Cricetulus griseus: one gene and its partners. The protein of the gene in region 3 interacts with the protein of the main gene of each other region in a pairwise test. Links are inferred from orthologs where the notes say so. Each region holds a gene or a part of one and is shown on either strand. Other genes may lie near its edges.

What was found. The genes of interacting proteins can lie anywhere in the genome.
Region 1: the proteins of Bnipl (region 3) and Gfer interact in a two-hybrid assay, tested with the Homo sapiens proteins (2 studies listed by BioGRID and IntAct). The link is inferred for Cricetulus griseus from reciprocal best matches to the Homo sapiens genes BNIPL and GFER.
Region 2: the proteins of Bnipl (region 3) and Mif interact in a two-hybrid assay, tested with the Homo sapiens proteins (2 studies listed by BioGRID and IntAct). The link is inferred for Cricetulus griseus from reciprocal best matches to the Homo sapiens genes BNIPL and MIF.

What each region holds. Positions count from the first base shown.
Region 1 is NC_048600.1:44,284,496-44,288,802, forward strand, and holds Gfer (FAD-linked sulfhydryl oxidase ALR), read right to left. Parts: upstream 2,801-4,307; 5' UTR 2,689-2,800; coding exon 2,452-2,688; intron 2,121-2,451; coding exon 1,924-2,120; intron 1,019-1,923; coding exon 856-1,018; 3' UTR 311-855; downstream 1-310. Other genes in the region: Noxo1 (NADPH oxidase organizer 1), read left to right, coding at 2,943-3,037.
Region 2 is NW_023276806.1:262,751,069-262,753,806, forward strand, and holds Mif (macrophage migration inhibitory factor), read left to right. Parts: upstream 1-1,360; 5' UTR 1,361-1,463; coding exon 1,464-1,571; intron 1,572-1,761; coding exon 1,762-1,934; intron 1,935-2,049; coding exon 2,050-2,116; 3' UTR 2,117-2,238; downstream 2,239-2,738.
Region 3 is NW_023276806.1:61,249,524-61,253,533, forward strand, and holds the start of Bnipl (bcl-2/adenovirus E1B 19 kDa-interacting protein 2-like protein), read left to right. Parts: upstream 1-1,208; 5' UTR 1,209-2,587; coding exon of another isoform or gene 2,588-2,631; 5' UTR 2,632-3,067; coding exon 3,068-3,417; intron 3,418-3,599; coding exon 3,600-3,664; intron 3,665-4,010. UniProt on the Homo sapiens protein: May be a bridge molecule between BCL2 and ARHGAP1/CDC42 in promoting cell death.

The sequences.
Region 1 (4,307 bases), on a different chromosome or scaffold from region 3:
AAAGAATGATATCTTTATGCTGAGAACTGGGGCTCCCACTGCTGCTGGGATGCTCTGGTTGGGAGCCTAGCCCAAGGACAGATGGAGCTGAGCAGATTCAGAAGAGCCCAGCAACTAGAAGGTGTACACTCAGAATCCAGAAGCCCCCTTGTCATCTTCAGCTTCTTTCTCACCATGAAGAGCTTGTCTCAGCTGCTCCATAGTGACTTCTGCCAGAACTTCAGACAAGAGGACCCAACTAATCACAGACAAGCAAAAGCAGGCCTGTCCATCACTGTAATTCCCAGTACAAAGCACACAGAAACCAGGCCCTAAGTCACTTCATTTTATTTTGGTCTCAAACTCTCAGAAGTTCAGGATCATCTGATCCTGGATCTGCTGACAGGCATGTTGTCATAGCTGTAGACCATGTGCCACAGGCAGTGGGCAGTATGGTGGGTACACCCTAAGTAAAAAGTCCTACTAGAGCTGGGGACAGAGTACAGAATAGACAACTCAGTACCATGCTTCAATTCTGAAATGGCACAGAGCTGCCAGTTCTGTAGGCACCCCTGGTTATGCAGTAGGAAGCCAATGGTCCACCCCATCTTCCTACGGGGCAGCTATGTCCCAAGTGTATAATGGGCAAGAGGCTGCATTATAAAGGGTATAGGGTAGCCTCTCTCATCTCTAGTCCCTGGGCACCTCCCCTTCTTAGCCCTGTGGGTAGGGTTCCCATTGGCAGTGTCCTAGGGACCCCTCTCCAAACACGGGAACAAGCTTTGGCTCAGATGCACTTTAATCAGCGGGCTGTCCCTCCAGCCAGGTTGCCCATGGACCCTGGCTAGATGTCCCACATGCTCTGCTCACAATCTTCTAGTCACAGGAGCCGTCCTTCCAGCCGTCACGCCATCGCTCATCTACCTTTGAACAGTCAAAATCAGGCTTGCCCAGCTTCCGATTCACCTCATTGTGCAGGCGGCACAGCCACTGGCTGAAGGAGACTCGAGTGCTTGTGTCTGGCTGGTTCCTGCCTATCCTTTGTGACAGAAGCACAGGAAGAACATAAGATGTTGACTCCTTTGTCCTTGCTAGGGCCCAGGACAGAGAGCTGGGGCACTGCTTTGAATTAAACTTGGGGATGCCTCTATGCTCTAGGGGGATGTGAAAGCCAAGAGCAGGGTTGACTCTGGAGTTTCCTGGACTTGTGCAACTCCCAGGGCTGCTCACTCGCTCACTTGACTTGGCAAGAGCCCAGAATTAAGATTATAGTAAAGCAGGCGACTTTACAACCTTGTAACAATCAGGGAGCCTCACCCCATGGTCTCTAGCCCCAGGCAGAGTATAGACAGGTGGGGCCTGGCACAGTGTTTCTTGGCACCAGAGGCCTAGTTCAGCAAGAGATACCCTTCATTCCTAACTACCCAGGCTTCAAATAGCAAGTGCAAGTGCCTAATAGGTCCAACCTAGAAATACCTATAAAGAACAGATTAAGTTAAGCCAATGAGTGAACCAAGTTTTTTTTTTTTTTTTTTTTTTTTGTGTGTGTGTGTGTGTGTGTGTGTGTGTGTGAGTGTTGGCTAGACCAGGCTGGCCTCGAACTCACAGAGATCCACCTGTCTCTGCCTCCAGAGTGCTGGGATTAAAGGCATGGGCCACTAACGCCAGACTTTCATTCCCATTTTTAAAATCGGTAACCACACCGAGAGATTAGAGAAGTTAAGCAACATGGAATCTTAGCTAATCTTCCTAAAAATTCTAAGGCTAACAATTCACAGACCTAGGCTCTGAGGAGGAAGGAGAGGGCTCCCATGACCCAACATTCGTTTGAGTGGTCCCTCTTCTAGCAACCTGTCACCTCTGCATCTATTTTTCTAGTCCCCTCTCTATGGCATCCGCCAGGCCCCTTTCAGGGCCTTACTGGCAGAGGTAAGGCACACTTACCTCTTCCTTATGTCTTCCGCACACTCCTTGCAGGGGTAAAACTTGGAAAATATATGTATGAACTGGGCCATATCTCGCTGTTGTTCTGGGGTGGGCATGTCCGGGTAATAGGCGGCCAACGTGTGGAGAAAAGCCCAGGTGTGGCGACCCAATTCCTCCCGATCCTGCGGACAGTCCTCCCTAAACTTGATGTCCCGCTGCAGAAGTAGGCCGACTACGGGTCAGTTCATTCTTCCCCAACCAGAAGCCCACAAAATTCCAACCCAGTGGCAGATTGCTTGTGTTGCACGCCAGAGGCCTTGGGTTCGGATTCCCAGTATCACCAAAAGAATAAAGGAAACAAGAATGCTCCCCTTTACAGTTGGCAGCCTAGTAAACTGATCGGCCAGCCAGTGGCTGAAGGCTCAAAGTCCGACCCTAGGGGTGTGTGTGGGTGAGGGGGTGGACATGTTTAGGCATAGCCAACCCTGAGGAAACCCGGTGTGGGGCGGGGGACCGGGACTGGGCGGTCAGGCGGGGTATCTGCACCTTCTGCTGGGTCCGCATCCACGACTTGAAGTCCACGCAGGCTCGGCACGGCGGCTTCCCGTGCTGCAAACCTTGCGGCCCCGGGGCTGAGGCAGAGGCCGCGGCGTCCCTATGCCCGGTGCGGCGGCCCCGCGCGTCAGTCACCAAGTCGTCTGTCATCTCAGAGCGCGCGCCGCCGGGCAGGAAGGAAAAGAGACTGCTGCGAGAGGCGCCCTCGGGCTCGCTGGGCGCCGCCATCTTGCCGGCGTACAGACGGCGGGGCCAAGAGGGCCTCCAGAAGGCCGGCAGGGCGAGCGCGCACGCCACTGCCAGCGCGCGGCGGCTGGAGCGGGAAAGGCGGCCGGGGGCCGAGCTCACGCTGGGGAAGGAGGCGGAGCCTGGCGGCGGGGCGGGGCTGGGGGTCGAGGCGGCGGCCCGGGTCTCGGCGGAGTCGGAGGCCCCGGCGCCGGAGGAGCCGGAGCGGGAGGCACGGGCCGAGGCGGCATAGGGGGATGCGGCTCGGGCTCTGGTTGTCCGCCGCGGGCCGGGCGTGCGTGGTGCATGGGGGAGCTCGGGTTTCCTCCCGCAGTGTAGTGAGTTGTGGAAGGTGCGCTGCGGCCCCGCTGGGAGGTCGGGCTGAGACGAGGTCTGAGATGCTTCTCTCGTCGCCCCCATCGCTCGGTTCAGACCTTTACCCGCTAGCGGCCAAGGTTGGGGCCTTTCTGGCGTACAACGCGCCCACCTACACGCTTCTGGGTGCTTGGCAACGCGCGGCGGGGCGTGGCCTCACAGAGCAGGCAGCGCCAATGGCCTGGGTCGACTTTTGCCCTAGTTACTGGGCCCCGCAACTTTGGGAGAGGCCTGGGACGCGTCCTATAACATTGGCGGGGGGAGGTTATTATGCCTATTTCAGCCTCAAGAATTCCTTTTTTTTTTTTTTGAGACAAAGTCATGTAACTTGGACTAACTTGGAATTCTGTTACGTAGCTGCCACCTCTTCTAGTACGTGACTTAGAAGCCTGGGCCATCACAGGAAGAATTCTTTTCCCTCTTCCATGTGTTCATTTATTCATTCTGCAAATATTTGTACAGTGGTACTCTGCTCCAAGCGCTGTTTCCGGCACTGAACAGAACAAGGAACAAGCTTCCTTCCCTAGCCTCTTTAGCCTTTGACCAGTAGTGAAGATGGGGAAAACCCAGTCACAGAAATAAATTTTATTTACAAACTGATGAAAGCTGGGTATAGGGTGTGGGAATATAGCGCTCCTAAATTGGAGACCCTTAAGCACAGGCCCCATAAAATGAGAAATCAGCTCAGGCTATCGCATTTTGCAGAAGCACCAAAGGCCACTGGGGGCAGGACTCTGGGAAGGTAGGAGGCCAGGATCCAGAGCTGGGCAATGGCCCACCAACCATGCTAGAAATTGGGATTTGTTCTAAAAGCAGTGGGAGACGTTGGGCAATTTGGGACAAAACTGTCTTGGCCTGATCCCATTTCTACTTTGCAAGATTTCTTCTATTTTTGTTAGAGTGATATTTTTGACAGAGTTTCTCTGTGTAGCCTTGGCTGTTCTGGAATTCGCTCTATAGGCCAGGCTGATCTCAAACTCAATAGATTCTCCTGCCTCTGCTTCCCTCCCGAGGGCTGGGATTAAAGGTGTGCAGAAGCAGATCTCCGTGAGTTCAAGACCAGCCTGGTCTACAGTGTGAGTTCCAGGACAGTCAGAGCTACCCAGAGACCCTGTCTCAAAAAACAAAAGTGTGATCACCACTGCCCAGCTTTTTATTTATTCTTATGTGCACTGGTGTTTTACCTGCATGTATGTCTGTGTGATGTCAGATCCCCTGGAACTGGAGTTACTGACAGTTGTGTGTTG
Region 2 (2,738 bases), about 200 Mb from region 3:
CTTAAATAAAGAGTATGAAGAATGCATAGCTAAGCAATCCTAGTCAGGGCGCAGTCCTCCTAGCTGCATTGTCTCAGCTCCAGTCCCTTCTGCAGGGTGGTCTGACAAGCTTCCAGAGCTGTGTGAAATCTCTTCCAGGGAGACAAGTTCCTCCTTTGGCTGCACCTGCCTTCAGTCTTTCTTTTCCCCCAGCCTGAGACTCCTGAGGAAATTCCATTTCCTTGGGAACCATTGTTTCAATAGTCTGGTAGCCAAACGGAGGGACACAAGTGTCTCTTTAGAATATCTTCATTTCTGCCAGAACCGTTATAGAACCTCATATAAACCTTGAAGTCACAAGACAAAACTGTCATTGCCCACACAGCATCCTTTTGACTGGTTGGATTTTTTTTTTTTTTTTTTTTTTTTTTTTTTTTTTAAAGGCAAGCTAGGAAAACACATGGAGACCCAAGATCCCAGTGACATTTCCTGGGCACCTGCCAGATGTCTGGCTTGTTCATGAGAAAGCTATACAAAGTCTACCAAGGGCTTTAATGAGGGTAATTGCTGGGACCTAATTTGAGCAGCACTTCCCTGAGGGCTGACAGTTGCCCAGTTTAGGATTATACCTTAAGGAGGAGCAGAACTGGTACCTTTGGCTCAAAACCAGTTCCTTGTGCCTCCCCTGGAGATCTCCAAGCATCCCCACTTGGTTGGAACAGCAAGGATGCAGGCAAGTAACTGGACGGTGACTCCTTTATGCCTCCTTCCCCATCTACAAGGAAGGACCTACATGAGCAGGATCATAGGTCGTGTGGACACACGTCCTGGGAGGCCCAGGACACACAAAGTCTTAGTTGAAAGTGGCTGTGTTGAAGGTGGCACTGAGCCAGTGGACCGACGTCTGACTGTTGGTACAAAACAGTAAGGAATGGGGCTCGGCCAATTTCACTAGCTTAGAGGAAGTTCCTAAGGCAAGTATTGTTCTTTCTCCAAGCACAAACCATCACGCTTTTGGTTCATTATTTGGAGTTAAATAGAGTCGGTCGGTTCTGGCCCATTGGCAGGCCAGATAAGGCCAACATGACTACCTACAGCACCGATCAAGGGCTGAAGTTTCCTCAGAAACAGAAATTTCTCAGACCTGAACCTGCTCCCGGTGTACCGTTAATCTGCAGCGTCTACCTGAAATGCCTCCACAAACTTAATCCTAGAGTCAAGTCCTTGCTACCTAATTTACTAAATGATACATTCTTCGTTTCTATCCGAGAAAACAAAGAGCAGAAGCACACCAAGCGTAGCAGAAGCACAGTCACGTCCCCGCTTTAGGACGTACCCTGACGCAGGCGGAGGCGGGACGAGGGGAGGAGCCGCAGCCGGTTTGGGGCGGTGCTGAACTAGGTCACGTAGCTCAGGTCCCTGGCTTGGGCCACATCCCGCGTCGCACTGTCCTCTACTCCCCGCTTGCAGTCCCCTCCGCCACCATGCCGATGTTCACCGTGAACACCAACGTTCCCCGCGCCTCCGTGCCAGAGGGGCTTCTCTCCGAGCTCACCCAGCAGCTGGCGCAGGCCACCGGCAAGCCGGCCCAGGTTTGCAGGGAGGGTACAGGAAGAGAGAGAGTGGGGAGGGAGGGCCCGTGCGCCCGGCCGCCGGGCAGAGGAAGAATGGGGATGGGAACCGCGGCGGGCGGCTGGAGGGCTGGAGGCTGGAGCTCCCCGGAGCCCTGTGGCCCCGTGGTCTTTCAGGCGGGCTAACCGCGCGTCCACCCCTCCCCCGCAGTACATCGCAGTGCACGTGGTCCCGGACCAGCTCATGACTTTTAGCGGCTCTAGCGACCCCTGCGCCCTGTGCAGCCTGCATAGTATCGGCAAGATCGGCGGCGCGCAGAACCGCACCTACAGCAAGCTGCTGTGCGGCCTGCTGGCTGATCGCCTGCACATCAGCCCGGACCGGTGCGTGGGGGTGGGGTGGGGTGAGGGGCGCTGGGAGGTGGGCGCGGGGGTCAGAGGGCGCCGCCACGCTCGCCGAGACCGCGTGTTAGGCTGAGCTAGGCTTTCATTCTCGCAGGATCTACATCAATTATTACGACATGAGCGCGGCCAACGTGGGCTGGAACGGCTCCACCTTCGCTTGAGTGCCGGCCTAACTTACCTGCGCCGCCGTTTCTTGGAGCCTTGCTGCACGCAGCGTTCTGTTTTCGTCCACCCCTGGCGACGCCCACCTTCCGATCGGGAGAAATAAATGGTTTAGAGACCACGGTTGCCTCAGTTTCTGCTTCCTTGGCTTGCGGAGGAATTGGTGCAGGGCGGGGACATTGAATGGAAGCCCAGGCTGCGATGGTGGGTCGGAGTTGGCCAGTTTGGCTGTCTCAAAACCAGTGGTCTAGATGTCCTTTCGTCCAGGCTTTCCTATAGTGGCCTTACGTCAAAAAGAGGTTCACTGGGGCCTCAGACCAACAGTCATACAGAACTTCCCAAGCAGTTGTTGCATCCTGAAATAGGTTCTCTGCTCTGGGCGGGAATCCCGAACTGTGTTCTTAATCACAGTGGCAAATGGGACGGCAATGTGCTTTCATGGGAGAGTGAGTTGCTCAGGCAGGAGAAGGGTGGGGATTAAATTGATAGACTCTTTGCCTGTGTTCTTCTCAGGCAAACAGCCCCCGACTCCCCAGTAGTTCCTAGAGAATGCATGAGAATGGAGTACTTTGTCTGTTTTCATGTTTGTTAGGGTAGAAAGGTCCAATGTGATTTACATCT
Region 3 (4,010 bases):
AACTTTATTCCTGTTTGAGGTCTTGTCTCTTTTTGACAGTATAGTCGGGCCTTCCCTCTGATAATGGCTGCACCTCCTACAGACACCTCTCCCTTTCTCCCGTTCCTGCTTAGTTGACTCAGCTATAAGCTGTCTCTGTTCATCCTTCATCTCTCCTTGATTCCTGTTCCCAGAGCTTTCCTTAAAATATTCAGTTGTGGTCTCAGGTTGGTTTTTTGTTGCTTTTTTCAGACAGGGTTTCTCTGTGTATCCCTGGCTGTCCTTGAACTAGCTTTGTAGACCAGGCTGGCATCAAACTCAGGGATCTACCTGCCTTGGGCCTTCCCAGTGCTGAGATTAAAAGCATGCACCACCACTGTCTTCTTTTTTTTGAGACAGTCTCCCAGACTGCCCTTGCTTGTCAAGTAGCTGAAGCTAGCCTCTAATGTTCCTGCAGAAGCCTCTCCCATGTTGGAATTGCAGATGTGAGATGCCTTACTTGTCTCCTCTGTTTCCCTTATGCTGGAAAAGTAGGACCAACATGAATTTAAAACCAAAATAGTTCCCAGCTTTGCCTGTATGTGTGTATGGTTCTGGTGATTGAACTAGGGCCTCATGCTACTGGGCAGGTGTTCTACCACTGATCTTTTTTGTTTGTTTGTTTGTTTGTTTTTGTTTTTTTTTTTGTTTTTTTTTTGGTTTTTCGAGACAGGGGTTTCTCTGTGGCTTTGGAGGCTGTCCTGGAACTAGCTCTTGTAGACCAAGCTGGTCTCAAATTCACAAAGATCCGCCTGCCTCTGCCTCCCAGCGCCTGGCCACCACTGACCATTTTTAACTTTTTATTTTGAGACAGAGTCTCAGTAAGTTACCCAGACTGGCTTTGAACTTGTAGTCCTGCTTCAGCCTCTTGAGTAGCTGAAATTCCATGCCCTCACCAGGATCAGCTTTTTAAAGCTAGTTATTGGATTGCAAGATGATGTGGACAAAGGCACCTAGTACCAAGATGACCAACTGAAGTTGATCACATGGTGGGATGAGAGTACTGATTCTCACAAGATATCATACACACACACTCAAAAATAAACTATAATTTAAAAAAGTACATTTTGGCTGGGCAGTAGTGGCGCATGCCTTGAATCTCAGCACTTGGGTGGCAGAGGCAGGTAGATCTCTGTGAGTACAAGGCCAGCCTGGTCTACAGCATGAGTTCCAGGACAGCCAGAACTACACACAGAGGAAACCCTGTTTTTTTTGGGGGGGGAGGGATACATTTTAAAGGCTGGAGAGATGGCTTGGTGATTAAGAGCACTGGCTGCTCTTCTAGAGGACCCAGGTGTATTTCCAGAACCTACAGGGCTCACAACTATCTGTAACTCTAGTCCCAAGAAATCTAACCCTTTTCTATCTTCCAAGAGCACCAGGTACACACTTGGTGCATAGACATATATGCAGGCAATACCCTCATACACATAGAATTTAAAAACAAAACATTTTTTAAGCTTCCAAAAGCTTCCAAACTGCTGAGAGATGGCTCAGCAGTTACAAGTGCTTTCTTGTCAAACTGGGCAGTGGTAGCACACTCCTTTAATCCCAGCACTCAGAAGACAGAGGCAGGTGGATCTCTGTGAGTTTGAGGCCAGTCTGGTTTACAGAGTGAGTTCCAGGACAGCCAGGGCTACACAGAGAAACCCTGTTGAAAGTGCTTCTCAATCCTGAAGCCTAGAGTTCAGATCGCAGCACCATGGGCAAGTCTACAAAGGCCTGTACCCCCAGCTTCAAGAGAGACACAAGAAAATTGCTGTTGGATTCCAGCCTAACCAACAATGCAAAAGCTGGGATCCAGGTTTAGAGAGAGACATTGTCTCAAAGAAACAGGCAGTGATAGAGGAGGCTGCCCTCCCCTGCACATTCCAGGGTGCACACACCCACTCATAGACTCACAAACACACTAAGAGGGAAAGATCACCCACACATTCCACATCAAACTGGTCTAAAATGTAAGACACTGAAAAATAAAGGGGGCTGCCTTAATGGACAGGCACTTACTTGAGCAAGAAGACCCAAGTTTGGATCCCCAGAACACACAAAGGCTGAGCAGGTGGGGCATCCACCTATAACCCTAGCTCTCAGGGAGTTAAGCTGGCTAGCTAAAACTAGATCAGTGAGCTCTGGGTTCAATGGAGATACCCTGCCTCAGATTTTCTGAGGAAGATATCCAGTGTTAGCTTCAGGCTTCCCTAGGAATGCGAGCGCGCGCGCGCACACACACACACATAAAATTATCTTGTAACCTTCCCCCCTTAAAAGGGCAAAACAAAGGGCTTCCAGGTTATAAAGAATCTGAACTGGAGAACAAATCGTCACCCTAGAAGTCTCACTCTCACACCCGAAAGCCCGCCCCCACACAAGAGGCTGGGCTTTTGGGCAAACCTGCTCCTTGGGAGGGGAGGTAGCAAAACCTGTTTGAAGATGAGGTTACCTCCCTTCCACACCTCCTGCTCCTTAGAGGCAAGAACAACAGCTGAGAAAGAAAAGGAGTGGTGGGGGCCAGGACCACAGCCTCCTACCCTTCGTAAAGTGTTCACAGAACACAGGACGACTGGTGAGGATGGGAACTATACAAGAAACAGGAAAAAAGTCATTAGAAGTAGGGTAAGTAATGGCTTGGCCTGATGAGGAGGAGAGAGGGCGTTTCCTACCACCCAAGCCTTCCCTGGGTTCCTCGAGGAAGAGCATGGCAAGAAGGAATTCAGGGACAGGGTGGTTTGGGGCAGGAAAGTAATATAGTATGGAGCAATTCCATGGTTTAAAGTTCCTATCTTATATCTGACAGACCACCACTCTCTCTCTCTCTCTCTCTCTCTCTCTCTCTCATCTAAGCACCACCCTCTAGAATGGCCATTAGGAAACCTGGCTCAGAAGGGAGTTTCTACCCCTGTTCTGCTTCCCAGTGAATCTCCTTTCTCCCCTGTCCTTGCCTGCTGTGCCATATTTTCCCAGTGCAGTAGAAAGGCAGGGCAGACTGGGTGCCATCTGCTGCTGCTTTGCAAAAGGTTAACTGGGCAGGTCTGGGTTCCAGCCAGCTGTGATGTGGGATGCCTTCTACACTACCATAGAGGCAAAGCGGTTACGGGATGGCCCTTCCCCTTTGCTAAGCTCAGCAGCAGGTGAGCTGTTTCAGTCAAGTGGAAAAGGTAGAGAAGGTAGAAAATCTGTAGACATAGACGAATGCCCTCTGCGACAAGTTCTTCACGACAGTGTCTGCCACCTGCTGTCTGGCTCCCTTAGGATACTGTCCAGGTTGTCTCATGATCATTTCTCCTGGGGGGGGGCTGATGTCAGGGCTGGGGAGAAGGCAGGAGTCACAGAGCCAGGAGCAGCCCTGAGACTTGAAGAGCTGGAACTGAGGGAGGAATGGCAAGATGAAGAGTTCCCCAGGTAAGGCTGAGAGCCCTTTGCCCTCCCTGTGGTACACGTGGTACACAGATAAATATACAGGCAAAACACGTCCACACACACACACAATCTTTACATGAGGGGGAAGAGAGAAAACAATTCTGGTGGACACCTGGCCTGGCTGGGTGTTGTGTGTAAGTCCCAGTTCAATCCCTACCCTCTAGATTGCTTCCTGAGGAGGCTGGCCCGGCTGGAGATCCCGAAGACCCTCAGACAGACTCCCAGGCAGGTAGGAAAGGAAAGTCTGCCTCTGGGGCTGGTTTTAAGGCCAGAGTCTTCACTGTAGCTTCTGTCCTTTGCAGTCCATTCTCCCTTTCCACTTACCCTGTCACTTCCCTGCCTCAAAATTCTCAGGTATGATCTCCTTAAAACTTTATTTTAGGTGTTTTGTTACTGTTGTTGCTTGGGGTTTTTTGTTTGTTTGCTTGCTTGCTTGCTTGCTTGCAACAGTGTCTTCCTATGTAGCCCTGGCTAGCCTAGAACTTATTTGGAGACTAGACTGACTGAACTCACAGAGATCCACCTGTCTCTGCCTCCTGAGCACTGGGATTAAAGGTGTGCACTACCACGCCTGA